Notamacropus eugenii: one gene and its partner. The protein of the gene in region 2 purifies or fractionates together with the protein of the main gene of each other region. This does not show direct contact. Links are inferred from orthologs where the notes say so. Each region holds a gene or a part of one and is shown on either strand. Other genes may lie near its edges.

What was found. Proteins that work in one complex are often made in the same cells at the same time.
Region 1: the proteins of OCRL (region 2) and RAB1A purify together in Homo sapiens (co-immunoprecipitation; 3 studies listed by BioGRID and IntAct, with this or other methods). This does not show direct contact. The link is inferred for Notamacropus eugenii from reciprocal best matches to the Homo sapiens genes OCRL and RAB1A.

The regions. Positions count from the first base shown.
Region 1 is NC_092872.1:639,183,810-639,190,895, forward strand, and holds the start of RAB1A (ras-related protein Rab-1A), read left to right. Parts: upstream 1-4,008; 5' UTR 4,009-5,326; coding exon 5,327-5,349; intron 5,350-7,086. UniProt on the Homo sapiens protein: The small GTPases Rab are key regulators of intracellular membrane trafficking, from the formation of transport vesicles to their fusion with membranes.
Region 2 is NC_092879.1:51,287,841-51,295,383, forward strand, and holds the start of OCRL (inositol polyphosphate 5-phosphatase OCRL), read left to right. Parts: upstream 1-4,492; 5' UTR 4,493-4,680; coding exon 4,681-4,716; intron 4,717-4,954; coding exon 4,955-5,034; intron 5,035-7,543. UniProt on the Homo sapiens protein: Catalyzes the hydrolysis of the 5-position phosphate of phosphatidylinositol 4,5-bisphosphate (PtdIns(4,5)P2) and phosphatidylinositol-3,4,5-bisphosphate (PtdIns(3,4,5)P3), with the greatest catalytic activity towards PtdIns(4,5)P2.

The sequences.
Region 1 (7,086 bases), on a different chromosome or scaffold from region 2:
CTGAGGCAAAAAAAGGCCCACCTGAGATTTTACATATAAATTTGTAGTGAACCCAGTCAGCAGGGTTTCATGATTTCCTTCAGCTTAGTTTAGCAGCACAAGAGGAGGAGAAAAGGTGTTGGATGGTGGGAGTATCCAGAGCTAAGGCCTGGAAGGTCAAGATCTTCAATAGAATAAGAGAAAGATGACTGTGAGGACTTGAATTGGTTTCCCAGGGGGTCAAGATGGGGAAAGTAGGAGAGTATAGTGAGTATAAGGGGTGATAGCCATGGAAAGAGGCTGAGGGGTAGAAGGATTCGAGGTTGCAATGAGGACAAAGAATAGTGTTTGGGATTGCAAGGCAGGGGAAGAGATGAAATGACAACAGGCTGTGATCCGATAAAGGAATTTCAGAATTCCTAAACATGGAAGTTCATGAACATACATGTGGGAGATGGCTTAATCAAGGGTATGACCACGTCTGTGTGTACTTGAGGTCAGATGGAGAAGCAGGCATAGGAAATGTGCAAATTTGAGGAACTGGAAGGTTAGGGTGTTTTGGGCAATATCAGAGTGTATGTTGAATTCCCCTAGTGTGAGGGTAGGAATTGGGGAAGCGGGGCAGGAGAGGGAGAGAGACAGAGAAAGAGACTGTGATCCAGGCACTGAAGTCATTTAAGAGAGGAGGGTGTCCTTGAAGTTGGTAAATAACAGCTGCCAGACTCTTGATTGGTAGCAAATATAGATTCAGTGAACCTCAAAGGAGACGTTTACTTAATGATCAATGGAGAGCCTAGAAGTGACAATAGGGAGCAATGAGTATTCTAATTCCCCTACCATGATTAGTTGGGGTATAAATGAAAGGGCAGTTAGTGTGGAAAAGGGGGGCCAGAGAAGCTGTGTTATTAGGAGGGAGTCAGATCTCAGTAAGTTTCTGTAGACCAAAGGAGTGAGAAAGGAAAGGGTTTAAAATGAAAGCAAGTTGTTACTTCTGGAGTGGATATTCCAAAGAACACAGTGGAAGGAGGGAGGTAGGTTTCGAGTGGTACATTGAGGGATGGGGACAGTTGGATTGCAGAAGATGGAAATAATGATAATAGTAGTAATAGAAGTTAACATTTATAGAGTTCCATGTGTCAGGCACTGTGTTAAGCACTTTACAAATCTCATCTCATTTGATCCTCACAATGACCTTAGGAGATGGGTGCTATGAATATATCCATTTTATAGATGAGAAAACTGGGGCAGACAGGGTTAAGTGACTTGCCTAGGGCAAAGTCAAGTGCAAGTCGCATCATTAGTTCTCTGATGGCCTGGTCTTCTTTGACAGCGAAGGACAAACACACAAGTGTCTGAGGACACATTTGAATTCAGGTCTTCCTGACTCCAAGCCCTGCTCTCTATTCACTGTGCCACCCAGATCATCAGAATGGATTTGAACAAATCAGAACGTGGATTTCAATGGTTCAGAGTCATGGTGATGGGGAGAGTATGACTGGATAGGAATTTGTTAATCATTGACAGAGGGAGGTATGTAAGTGGTTACAGGCTCAGGTGAGGGGCCTAGTAGAGGTGGAGTTACAGGAGGTCACGGAGCATACTAGGAGGGAGGAGGACGGAGTGGAGGACCCAAGAAGCCTGGGACTAGGCAGCTAGGTAATAGCATTGGCCTTGGAGTCAGGAAGACATGAATTCAAAATTGACCTCAGTTAGTTACTGCCTGGGTGAATCTGAGCAACTCAATTAACCTGTCTACTTTAGATAGACAACCTCTGTCAGCTATAAAATGATTTAATAATACCTACCTCTCAGGGTTGTTGTGAGGATCAAATTAGATAATATTTGTAAAGCACACTTAACAGGGTACCTGGCATGTAATATGTGCCTAACAAATGGTTGTTTCCTCCCACCCTTCCATAGCAGGCAATTCCTTGCTTACTTGACAGGCTCAAGAGAATTAGTAAAGCTTTAAAGTACACTAAGACTTTTGGGACATCCTATATTATAAAGTACCTAGTGGCTGGTACATATAAGTGGTGCTTTCTTTAAATGGTTAGAGAATACAGAAGTTAGCTGGAGTAGTTAAAGAAGTCTTCAAGGTGGAGGTAGAAAAGGGAATAGAAATTAGAGAAAGGCCTAGCCAAGAGAATTAGTGAGCGAAGACCAGTTGCCTGGAGTGGGTAATGCATACTCAGGGAAGGAACAAGGATATCAATCTTACTGAAACAAAGGATTCCTATAGAGAGTGATAAAGTTAGGAAAAGAGCATCCAAGGAGAGACTGTGTCTCAGGGCAAGAGGGGATCCCAGACCTAAACTAGGCACCTCCAGATCCATACTAGGGGAGTGTAATGGGAACGGGTGCCCACTGAAATCTGTGTTGCCTACTACACTTTTTTAGGTCACAGTCCTACACACAAGGGTAGTGTTGCTGGGGGGGAGGGGGAGACAGACTGAGAGACAGAGAGAGATGCTTTTATTAATGGAGTAAAAGCTTGAAGAAAAAAATGGAAAAGAAATTAAATTTCTGAAAGGATTGGAAAAGGGAATTAACAGTGTGGGACAAGAAGTATAAAACCTTGTCTGAGCAACAAACTCCCTGAAAAATAAAATGGACTAAAAAGAAACCAATAACTCCATGAAACAATGAGATGATAAAACAAAATCAAAAGGTTGAAAAATAGAAGAAAATATAAAGTAGCTCAAAATGAAAACAATTGACCTACAAAAGAGTAGAAAAAATTGAAGATTAGACTATCTGAACACCATGAGTGAAAAAAAAGGTAAGTGACCACATCTTGTAGAAAGTAGATATAAGAATAATCCACCAGTTCCCTTCTGAAATAAGCTCCCAAATGAAATTTCCCAGCTACATCACAGCAAACCCCGAAGTTTCCAGATTGAAGAAAAAAATCCAACAAGCAGCCGGAAAGCAAGATTTAAAATACCAAACAGTTAGGATCACACAGGATTTAGCACCCAGAAGGAAAAGAATTAGAGGCTAAGAATAACTTGCCCAGCAAAATGCATATAATGCAACAAGGGGGGCAATGGATCTGTAATGAAATAAAGGATTTCTAAGCATTCCTAATGAAAAGGTCAGTATAGAAACTTTGAAGTTCAAATGCAGGAGGTAAGAGAAACATAAAAAGGTCAATATGAACAAACAATGATAATTGCCTAAACAAAGACTTAACTGCTTACATTCTATTATAGACAGGTGATATATGTATACCCTCTGAACCTTATTATCATCAGGGTTCATAAAGGGAGTCTAACTCTACAAAGTCTAGGAGCAGTTCTGTTACCTCTTGACCTTAAGAGAAAAATGGAAAGAGAAGGTAAGAGAATAGAGGAGGGGAAGGAAGATTAGGGAAAATTATCTGACATAATTAGGGTGTACAAATAGATATCTACAGAAACAAAGAAGAGAGGAGGAGAGAACATCTCACACTTCAATTTCACTCTCATCTGAATGGGGAAGAACATACACACACATACATCTGCTTACAGAAATATAGTTTATTCAACATAGGAGCGAAAGGGGAGAAGTAGAGAGGGAAAATTGGAAGAAGGGTAGATTAAGGGAGGGGTTAGTTTTAAGCAAAACAAATTCTAAATTTGTACAAAAATATTTAAAGTTCTCTTGAGGTGGCAAAGAATGGGAATCAGAGGGGGCACCCATAAATTGGGGAATGGATGAACAAATTATGATGTTTTGGAATACCATTGTGTTGTAAGAAGCGTTGAAGGGGATGGTTTCAGAGAACCCTGGGAAGACTTGTATGAACTGATGCCAAGTGAACCGAAACAGAACAATTTATAGCATGATATAAGCAACTTCCCTCATGTGTTGTTAAATGAAGGTGGAGAAAGAACCGGGAACTCTTATCAGCTAATAACTAACCACAGTTCCAGAGGACTAATGATGAAACATGCTATCCACATCCTGATAGAGGTTTCAGAAGGAAAAAAAAAGGATTCAGAGTGTAAAACGAGACAATTTTATTAAAGGACACGGTCAGTGTGGGAATTGTTTTTATTGGCTATATGTAACAGGATTTGTTCTTTAGTTCACAAGTGTGCGTGGGGGGGGAGAGGGTTGGAGTAGAAGGGTGAGAAGGCAGATTATTGCTAATTGAAAAAATATGTTATATACAATTTTTTTAAAATATTGGTCTTGATCATTAAAGGCCATAACTCCTAGGTTCTTAAGGTGTACAAAGAGCTACCTCCCATCAACCCAGATGGGCAAATAGTCCCCATTTTACAGATAAGGAAACTGAGGCTTGAGACTGGCCCAAGGTCAGCCAGCTCATAGCGTATCAGAGGCCCCGACCGGACCACCTAGACCAGGGAGAGGCCGGCGGACTGGAGAGGAGACTTCGGAGACCGTGTCTGCTCCGAGGTGGGGGCGGGGGAGGGAGGAGTCAGGACCGCTGCGGTCCGACCCGAACACAATTCCAGAGTTCCCCGCGGCGCCGCAGAGCCACCGGGGCATCGCCTTTGCTCCCAGCCCCTTTCAAAGTCTTTTCCTAGGGATCGTCTATTAAGGCCCTAGAGCGAGCCGGCTCAGGGCGGCTTCCCACTCAGCGGCCGTTCTAAAGCTTTCTCCCCCTTGGGTTTCCTCTCCAGCTGGACCCTTCCCTTTTCTTCCTTCCTCCCGGCTCCTTTCTCCCTTCCTCTTCCCCGCCCCTCGCTTCTCGCCCCACCCCTCTCCCGCAGTTCAGCCCCTCCCTTGACACCTCCCCCTCTCCTTTAGGTCGCTGACTCGCCCAGCTGCCACGTTTCACTGATGACATCACCGAGGCCGCTCAGTTTTAGCCAATCCGCTAGGGGGAGTCAGAGCGGAGCCTTCTCCCGAGAGACGGTCGGGAAGGGAGAGGAAAGGGGGGGGAAGTGGGGTAAAGTGGGGTGGTCAACAGCTCCCTCAATGCGCATGCGCCAAAGGAGCCGGGCTCGTCGGGAAAGCGAGTCCCAGCCGTCTTGCCAAACCATCTGGCTGCGGGGCCCCCAGGCGCGCGCCTGGACTATCTTGCCCGGCATGCAGTGCGGTGCGGCCGCCCTCTGGGCTGTGTAAAGGCCCTTCGGTCTGAGGCTTCCCTATTTCCTGGTTCGGCGGCGGCCATTTTGGGTGGAAGCGAGAGTCGAGCGGCAGAAGCGGCGGCGGCAGTGGCAGCTGATTGTGTTCACTGGGTGCGGAGGGGGGTAGACGTTTGCTCTCCCGGAACGGACTTTCTCATTCCTTTTCGTCGGTTCCGGGCGCGGAGAATCAAGGCGGCAGCGGCGGTAGTAGCAGCAGTACCAAGGGCGGAGGTGGCGGCGGCGGCGGCGGCAGCTGCAGTGACATGTCCAGCATGAATCCCGAATAGTGAGTGAGGGGCCGGGAGCGGGACCGAGGCCGAGGCTGGGCCGGGCGGTGAGGGGCGGGCACCGGGCAAGAAGAGGAGGAGCGCAGGGCCCGGGCCAGGCGATGCGGAGCCGGGCCGAGCCGAGCCGTAGGCCACCGGCGCGCAGCCGAGCGAGGCCCGCCGCTCCGAGCCGGGCCGAGCCGGACCTGGCGGGCCCCATTGTCTGACGGCGGAGGGGGTGCGGCTGAGAGGGAGCCGCAAGACCCGAGGGGGGGGCGGGGTCCGGTGAAATGGAGGCTCCCCGAAGCAGGCCCGGGAAGGAAAGGGGGGTTGTGAGAGGCTGCCTCGGAGGGCCCGCTGAGGGCTTCTTTTCTCTGAGAGAGGTGACTTCCGCGAAGCGGGTGGGTACTTCGGGGGGGCCGGGGTGGGGTGCTGTCAGCCCCCCGCAGGAGAGGGGAACGGCTCCGCTTCTCCGGAGCTTGTTTTGCCTTCCTTCCTTGGGGCCCCGCCAGGCGGCAGGTGAACATGGACGCTCCTCAGGGACCGTGGGGAGAGGAGAGGGGCTCTTAAAATGCCCCTACTTCTCCGAGCCTGTGTTCTGGAGGAGCCAAAACCCTCCTGAGGACCTGGTCACTCGGGCCGGAAGGACTCCATCGCCTCTGAAACACTTCTCTGTAGGACCCAAGGAAAACCTCAGGCACAAGCGCACCTCCCCGTCGTCACCGTGTCAGACGAGCCGAGTGTGGCAGCCTGTCACCCTGAGGGTGATGGAGAGCCGGCCTCCGCGCTGACCCTTGGGCCCCCGGGCACGCCGCTCTCCGAGCCCCTTAGAGTTGCCCAGGAGGTGCTAGCCTGTGTGGGGAGAGGGAGTTTCTTCCCTTAAGAGTTCCGGGTGCTGCTGAAATCACAGGTCTTGTCCCTGTCCTCATCCTTACAGTTATAGTAGAGAGAGAAACTGGTGGATCTGCAAGTTTTGGATTACCTTACCTGAATGATTGCAGATAAGGAATGAGGTTTCATGACGTGTCATGAAAAGTTAATGCATTTCTTTTTCTTGCTTAATTGAGAAGCAGCGACAGCAGATGTGACATACTTGGCACCTTTCCTAGTAACTGGAATTCACTTTTCTTGGGAAAATTCTGTCGTTCTTCCCCAAACCCCCCAATTTCCTCCCCTCAATACATGTAAAATTACTCAAATAGTAACGATGTGATTGAAATGGATGCTTTTAAAATAAACCGGTATGTCAGAAGGAAAGATTAATGTTAGAGTGTTTTCTTAAAATTTGAAGTTCTACTGCTAAATTCCCTGTACTCCTATCCCCTTCCCCTCTGGTCAACCCATCAGCTTAGCTGACAGTCATGTGTGTGTCACATGGCTCTTGCAAAATGCATTCTGACTGCAGGTTTTGTAACACTGTGGTTTGGTACTGAAATGTTTCCTTTGGTTTGTATTAAATTGCAGAGAAGGCATCATATTTGATTCGAATTCTGCATATTTTAAGATGTAGCTAGTTGATTTGCAGTCTTGCAGTTTCACCTTTCCTTACAAAGTTCTAGGAAAAGGGGCCCCAAGAAAACAAAATTGCAGAGTTGACTAGTGTCCTTAACTACTCCTTAGCAGTTTCTTGGCCACAGTCAGAAACACTGATTAGCCATTGCTTTAGAAGTTGGTTGCCTTGCTGCTTAGGGCGCTCCTTACGCAAGATTCAGTTTATGTAAAAGTAGTTAAGAGAAAACTACTGTTAACATCATAAT
Region 2 (7,543 bases):
ACTTTTACATGTGTCATCTAATCAGTTTCTACATAGGACTTAGACTTCTGGGACCAAGTGAAAACAGTCCAGTTTTTAATGAATTTTTATTTCTCACACTATTTCTCACCGCTAAAGCTGAGGATCTGAGTTAGGCTCTCTCTGTCAAGAGTCCTTCAGAGGAGGCAGAACTCTTAAGGCTTAATACAGACCTGCACAACTTGACAGGTAGGGGCCAAAATTAAAATAGGCTAAACTTCTTTGGGCCATAACTTTCCAAGTGAAAGTATAAATTAATGATTAACCTATTTTGCAAATAAAACATTTTTTAAAAAGGAAATTTCAATTAATTTTAAACCTTAAACTTCAAAGTTTTCCTTTATCATGAAATCACTCCTCTCAGACTAGAGACAGACTGATTGCCACAGGTCATGTGACAAACAGGAGAGAGTGAACAGTGGCAAAAGTTACATGACAGGCACAAATAATAATGACTAGTGGAAGGGTGGATTCTTTTATATCCTTCATAGACCACCCAAAACCCTTTGGCAAGCCACAAGTGGCCCATGGGCCATATGGTATGCAGGCTTAAGATAGCCTAGACCAATTCGTATTGCAGTCTTGACGAAAGTGATCTGCCCCCTCTATTCCCTAGCTTTCCACATCTATGATCCGGTTAAGGTTTTCCTTCTTAGTTTGATATCTGACAGTTATCTAACTGTCAGGAATCTAACATAGCAGCTGCAGCAGGGAAAATGTTAAATATCCTTTCCTCAATCTTGATGATAGCTTTAAAATGCTATTGTGTGTGTCCCATCAGCTTCAACTCACGGCAGAGGGTGGGCCTACTTGGAACACTGTCACTGTGTTTCATCCTTGGTCCTTTCTTCATCTTTGCAAAATATTGAGCTCATGAGTGAGGCCTCCTAAAGTGCCATTAAAGAAATATTACATTTGCTCTTTTTAGGCCAGTGTAGAAAAGGAAGTTGGTGGGAATGGAACAGTGTAGGGAAGGAAGGAGGAAGAGAGGGAGGGGGGGTGAATAGGGGTGGTAGTGTCAAAAAAAAGAATGCTTATCTTAAGTAATTGCAATCATATTTTAATTATAGTTATATTTAACTATATTTTAATTATATTAAACAATTTTGTGCCTTGTGGTCTTGTTGTTCAGTTGTGTCTGGGTTTTTGGGGTTTTTTTCAACTAAGATAACCGGAGGGTTTGCCATTTTTTAAGGACTCCAGCTCATTTGACAGATGAAGAAACTGAGGCAAAACAGGCCTAGGGTCACATAGCTAATAAATGTCTGAGGCAGAAGAAGTCTGCCTGACTTCAGGCTGGGCACTCTATCCATTTTGCCACCTAGGCCCCTCTTATCTTTCCCAATAGATGTAACCTCTTAAAAAAATTTTAGTTGATATCTTTGGTTTGCATATCACTTAGATTTTCCCCTGTATCCTTGCTTTCACTCCCTACCCCCAAGAATTGTAATTCTTTAAAGGACTGACTTTTATCTACTAGTTCAACCCTGGAGATACCCAAAAAACTTTTTTTTTGACCATCTATGAACCAAGGGGCAACCCAGACTCTGCTTTGATTATTTCCAGGAACAGGGAAATTTCCATTTTTGGACAGCTTAGTCTAATGGGTCATTTGATGTTACAATTATGACTCAGTTGATTGAGTTATTAAATAACTATGCATTTAAACATTTGAAAATTTTCTGTATTCAATTGAGGGGCATCTACACAAGTTGAAGCCCTGCCTTCAGAGAGATTACAATATTGAGGTCCAATTCTATTCCTGGAACTTTCCCATCTCTTCTATTCACTTCTCCTTAAGCAATAATCCTGCTGTGATGCTGCTCACGTCCCTCTGCTGTCTCTGGACATTTGTCAAACCCTAAATTCCCCATAAAATGAACTAAATACAATACTCCAGGTGTGGTGAGACCAACGTAGAGGACAAGTTTAGGACATTCTTCTCCCTCCCTTTTTCTGGATGCTCCCCTCCCCCACTTTAAGTCACTGCAGTCCAAGATGATATATCAGTTTTTTTTTTCTTTCTCGCAGATGTCTATCTCATGGTTAAAATTCATAATGAACTCAGGCAAAATGCCCATCTTTTTTCCCTTCTTTTTTCCCACACAGACATCCAGGCCATGTTTATTCTCATGTCAAGAAATGGCAGTTATTTTTTTTTATCCTTTCAAAGTTAAGAACTTCCCATTTTATTCAAGTCCCAGTGGTAAGCAGGTCTCCTCACTGCTTCCTGCCTTCCGAGAAAATAAATGATCCATCTAGACAAGACTTTATCAGACTCTGCTTTGAACATAACTGAGACTTTAACACAAATCCTGTTGAATTCAGGGAGTTTAATCCCCATAATAGTTCTATATATGTATTTTTACGGAAAGCATAGCATATGGATAGAGAGTCAGTTCTGGAGTCAAGAAAGGATCTGAGGCCATTTGTACCACCCCTCATATAGACATACTGGCTATGTTGCTCCTATGACCCTGAGTGTGACACAAATAGGACAAATTTTTTAGTGCCCCAACTTTTTAGTGCCACATTGTTTTTGCACTGGTGTAGTTTCCTGTAACTGGTATAATATTGAATAAATAAAAGGGGAAGGGGGAGGAGGGGAAGGGATGCCAGGCCTGTGATATTATTATAGAGTAGGGATTCCCATGTGGAAAACTGTGACACTTGATCTGAGTGTCTATTTTTCCACTCCAGTAAAGCCCCTGGAAGGCAAAGGTTGCTGGGGTTTTTTGTTTTGTTTTTTTTTTTAAATTACTTTCTTTTGTATCAATCCCAGCTCACTACTATGCATATAACAGGCAAGTCAGATTTTAACTCATTGACATTTCTGTTTCTCCAGACTGGGCTTCCTCCTCCCTCCACATCAAAACAGCCCAGTTTTGTTTCTTTTTCTTTTTCCCCCTGTTTTTAGGGAAGATTATCTGGTTGCTGGGGGCAAGGAGAAGAGAGAGAGACCAGGGTAGGAGGGAATTTGAGTAATGGGAGGATGTGGGATGTGGATGGGTGGGTGTTGGGGCGCAGTAAGAAAGGGGAGGGAGACTCCACAGGATTTTCCAGATGGGATCACCAAGACCTTAGTGATTAGAAAAGGCGGGGATAAATATGACCAGAGTTTGGGGGGTGGGGCAGGAAGGAGGGGATAAAGACATTTATGTAAACTCAAATGGGGGGGGGGGGTTAGTACACACACAGATAACTATGCTATTTAAGAGATGATGATAAATGCAGCGGTGTGAGGTACCCCAAGTGTGGTTTGAGCTGGGGGTGGGGGTGGAGGTGCTAGACAGAAAGGGATGATGGTTTTAGAAAATAAGCTAGAACATTTTTACCTGCTGGCAGAACGTTGTCACTCTAGTACCGTAGAAATTCGTTAGCCAGAATAAATTAAACTAGGAACCGAGCAGAGCAAGGAACTGGTTCTTCCTCTCCCCACCCTCAAGTCGGCGGGCGATGGGCCCAGGTGGGGGGTCTGAAGTGTTTACACTCTCCTACAGGGTGGGGGTTCTCTCCACCATTGCTCAGAGGGCTGGGAAGTCGGCTTGCCTTGGGAAATGCTCAGGATTGCCGGTTTACTGGGCTGCCCTGGACAACAGCGGGAAAGAACCAGGCAGAGGGCACTTGAGCAGCAGGAGAGGAGAAAGGTGGGCGAGCGCCTGCTTGTGCGCGCGCGCGCGCGCCTTTTCAAAGGCCCTCAGGGCATCATTAAACACATTCGAATCACAGAACAGACTGTCAAAATGGAAATGATCAGATTTAGGGATCCTGGATCCTAGAAATGGAAGGGACCTCAGACCTTGTCTAACCCAAGCCCCATAATCATACAAGGCTGTACAGTAAACATCAGAGGGTCTTGCAGAGCTAACATTCTTGCCTCTAGGTTCCACGGGGTCATTTTCCTCCAAGTCTCTTTGGTTAATTTAATTAGCACAGTACCATCCTGGCACTTTTTGGGGAGGTGGGGATGTGGCGGATGGGGGGAGGGGAGAACCTACCAATGAATAATTTCATCTGTGTATCTCTGGTGAAGGAACCTCATCTACCAAAGCACATGGGCCCTTTTGAAACAGCCTGATTTCGAGGTGCCTAGGGCGGTCCAATGGATGAGTGGCGAAATATCACCCAGGGTCACCCAGCCAGCTATACAGTAGCTGAGTTAGAACAGGAAAGTTAGGCTTTCCAAGCTCTTTTTACTCGTCTGTGCACGGATAACTGGAAGGGCCCCAGGTTGGAGAGGATGATCTAGGGCGTCCATTGTCGTTTCATTGAAAGCCTGCGATCTCAGCAGATGGCTGGCTGGCTGGCTTCCCAGCGGGGAGCCGCGGCCGAGGCTCGAGACTCCGGCTCTGCAGTGGCGGCACTAGAGCACGCGGGGGCGCCGTTGGCGGAGGGCGGAGCCCTGCGCGCAGGGAGGCGCTCGCTCCCTCTCACGCTCACTGGCTCTCGTTCTCTCTGCTGTCCGCTCGGGGCGCTCTCTCGCAGTAGGAGCGCGGGAGCTCTCTGGGCAGCTGTTAATTTCTTCCGGCAGACCAGGCGAAGCGGGGCCGCCCGGCTGGCGGGCCGTCAGGCAAGCGGAGGAGGGCTGCCGATTGGGTGGTCGGGTTCACACCGTGCGATCGGTGTTCACAACCCCCGGCGCCGGTCCGCTCGCCCGCCCGGATGGATCGGCCCACGACCAGAGTGCAGTTCCTCACAGTATCCACCTCTGGGAAGGGCGAGGGGCGAGGGCCAAGTCAAGGGGGAGGCGGAGGAGGGAGGGGGAGCCCGGGAAAGAAGGGGGGTCGGTCGTTGTCGCCCTCGCTATCGCACGCAGGCGGGGCGGCGGCCGTGACCGAAACGGGGGTCGGGCGGGGCTGGGGCGGGAGCGCGCCCCCCTCCCGAGGCACCCCTGCCTTGGCTTTGAGCTTGGATTCCTTGACTGTCCCCCCTTCATACAATCGAGGGCTGGGAGTTGAAGGGCCCCGAACGAGAGGCCTGCCGCTTGATCCTGGCTCGAAGGGGCGCACAGTCTGAGTAAGTAGCCTCGGGATCGGGCTAGGGAGGAGGGAAATCCTCTGGGCCCTGGGTACCCCCGGCAGGCAGGGACTATTCCGCCAGTGCCAGGCGGTCAGCCTCGGCCACCACCGGGCGCGGCGCCCGGGCCCAGGGTGAAGAGCAGTGCCTTCCGAGGGCTGGGCGGGGCCGGGAGATGGGAGAAGGGTTGAGGGAGGGGTAGGAGAATTGGGGAGGGGGGACCCTGGGTGGGGGGGGGAGAGGAGAATGGGAGGAATATTGAGGGGAGGAGGATGGTGGGGGACGAAGGAGGATGGGGAGGAGCAGGAGGGGAACCTGTGGAAGGCCCTTTTAAGAGCCCCTAGGGTTGTGCCCCAGTATAAGGACGCGCCCCCCCCCCCCGCCCCCCGTAGAATTAAGGATCTGGGAGGGGCTCTATTCCTAAAATCGTCTTTTTAGAGTAGAGGCAACCTCAAAGGTCTTTGATCCCAACCCAATCATTTTACACGAGGAAACTGAGGCCTAGAGACATTAAATGACTTGCTCAGGGAGTCACTAAAGTGTCTGAGACAAGATTGGAATCCAAGTTTTCCTGACTCTAAGTCCAGAGCTTTGTCCATGTTACAAATCTTACTGCCAACCTCATTCTACTGAGAGATAAGGGGGGCTCAGGGAAAGGATCATAGATGTAATGATAATAGTTGCAATAATTACAATAATATTATCTCATTTGATCTTCATAACAGCCCTGGGTGGAAAGTGCTGTTATTATCCCCATTTTACAAATACGGAAACTGAGGCAAACATTGATTATTTGCTCAAGGTCACATGTGGCTAGAAAGTGTCTTAGGCAGGATTAAAACCAGGGTATTCCCTGGGTTTTCCCCACCTCCTAGCATGGTGCTGTGGTTATATCTAGCTGCCTAGATTTAGAACCAGAAGGGAGCTCCAATGGGCCCCTATAGAGACAGTCCAGGTCCCCTTTATTTTCCAGAGGAGGAAACTGAGTGATGGCGGGAGAGAGAGGAGCTACCATACCAAAGGTCTCAAAAGTAGCAGAGTTGGAGATAAAGAACTCTAGAAAGAATCCAATTCTTTAATGTTACAGAGCAGAAAACTAAGGCCAGAAGTAAAGAATGCCCTGCTCTGCCACTGACCTATTTGGCCTTGTCACTTCATCCTAGTAATAATAAGAACAAATTACTTTTCTCTATCTCCCCCGCTTCCTTTTCTCTTTTGTATGGTCTTGTGATTTCATAAAGAACTCTGCACAAGGTAACTCCCTCTACCATGAGAAATCAGTCCAGCTCTGAATCCTAAATCCTGAGAAAGTTGATCATCTTGAGTGACTTGCTCAGGGTGATGAAACTTCTATGTTATAGAAGGGACTTTGAACCCAGGTCTTTCTGACTCATCTCTGGGCCAGCTCCAAAGACTTGGGCCTTTTTATATCGCCTTATGATTTAGTGCTTCCCTCATGCTCTTGTGAGGTGGGTAATACAAATATCCCCATTTTACAAGTGAGGAAACTGAGGCTTAGGAAGAGGACAAGTCACATAATGATAACATCTGATATTCCTGTAGCGTTTGAAGCTTTATTGATTTTACAGGTAAAGAAACAGGCTCAAAAAGAGGGTACCTCACTCACTTTTATCATAATAGTAGTATCTGACTTCTTTGTTGCCTTTAAAGGCAACAGCCCTACAAGATAAATGGTGCAAGTATCATCATTCCCATTTTTCAGGGGAAGAAACTGAGGATTAGAACTGGAAAGTGACTTTCCCAAGGTCACAGAGTAAGAGGCAGGGCCAAAATTCAACCCCCAGTCTCCTCATGCAGATTTAATATTTTTTCCACTATATCATCTCCATCTCTTTAAGCTCTTGTTTCCCATGTCGTGGTAGTGAGAATAATAGCAGCTCTCCACCTTGCTTGGTCTTTTCAGTGTATGGTGGATAAAATGAGATAATAGATGGGAAAATGTTTAGGAAAGGATTAAATAAAAGTACCTTAGAAAATGCTGTTTTGTTACTTTTAACAGACTAGGCTTTGCCTTCTTTAATTCTGTACAACTTAATCCCCACTTGCAACCGTTGATGAGAAAATTAGGAACTCCTTTAAATGGAGGCTTTTGATGCCAGAATAGTGGCTTTAGACATTACCACTTTAATAATTTGACCTAGGGGTCACATGGCCAGTGTAAGTATCAGAGCTTGGGACTCAAGCCCAGGTCTCCTGGTGCTTCCCCCTCCTACTAAGCTAGGACTAATAAATAACTCTCCCTCTGAGTGACTTGGGGACAAATACTCTTAGTAGCTTCGAACAGCATGAAGTGGGAGTTTGATAAATTATCAATGACTGATCAAAAGAACACTCTAGTGAGCTGACCATGTGGCTGCCAGCTTTCATACCATTGCCACCTTATCCGTACTCAAAATAGCTCTCGTAGTGACCACAGTCATCAGCATTACCTGTGCCAAGGGCTCTAACTGTTCCCCTAGTCAGAACCTTCTGAGGTCTTCATGGCGTT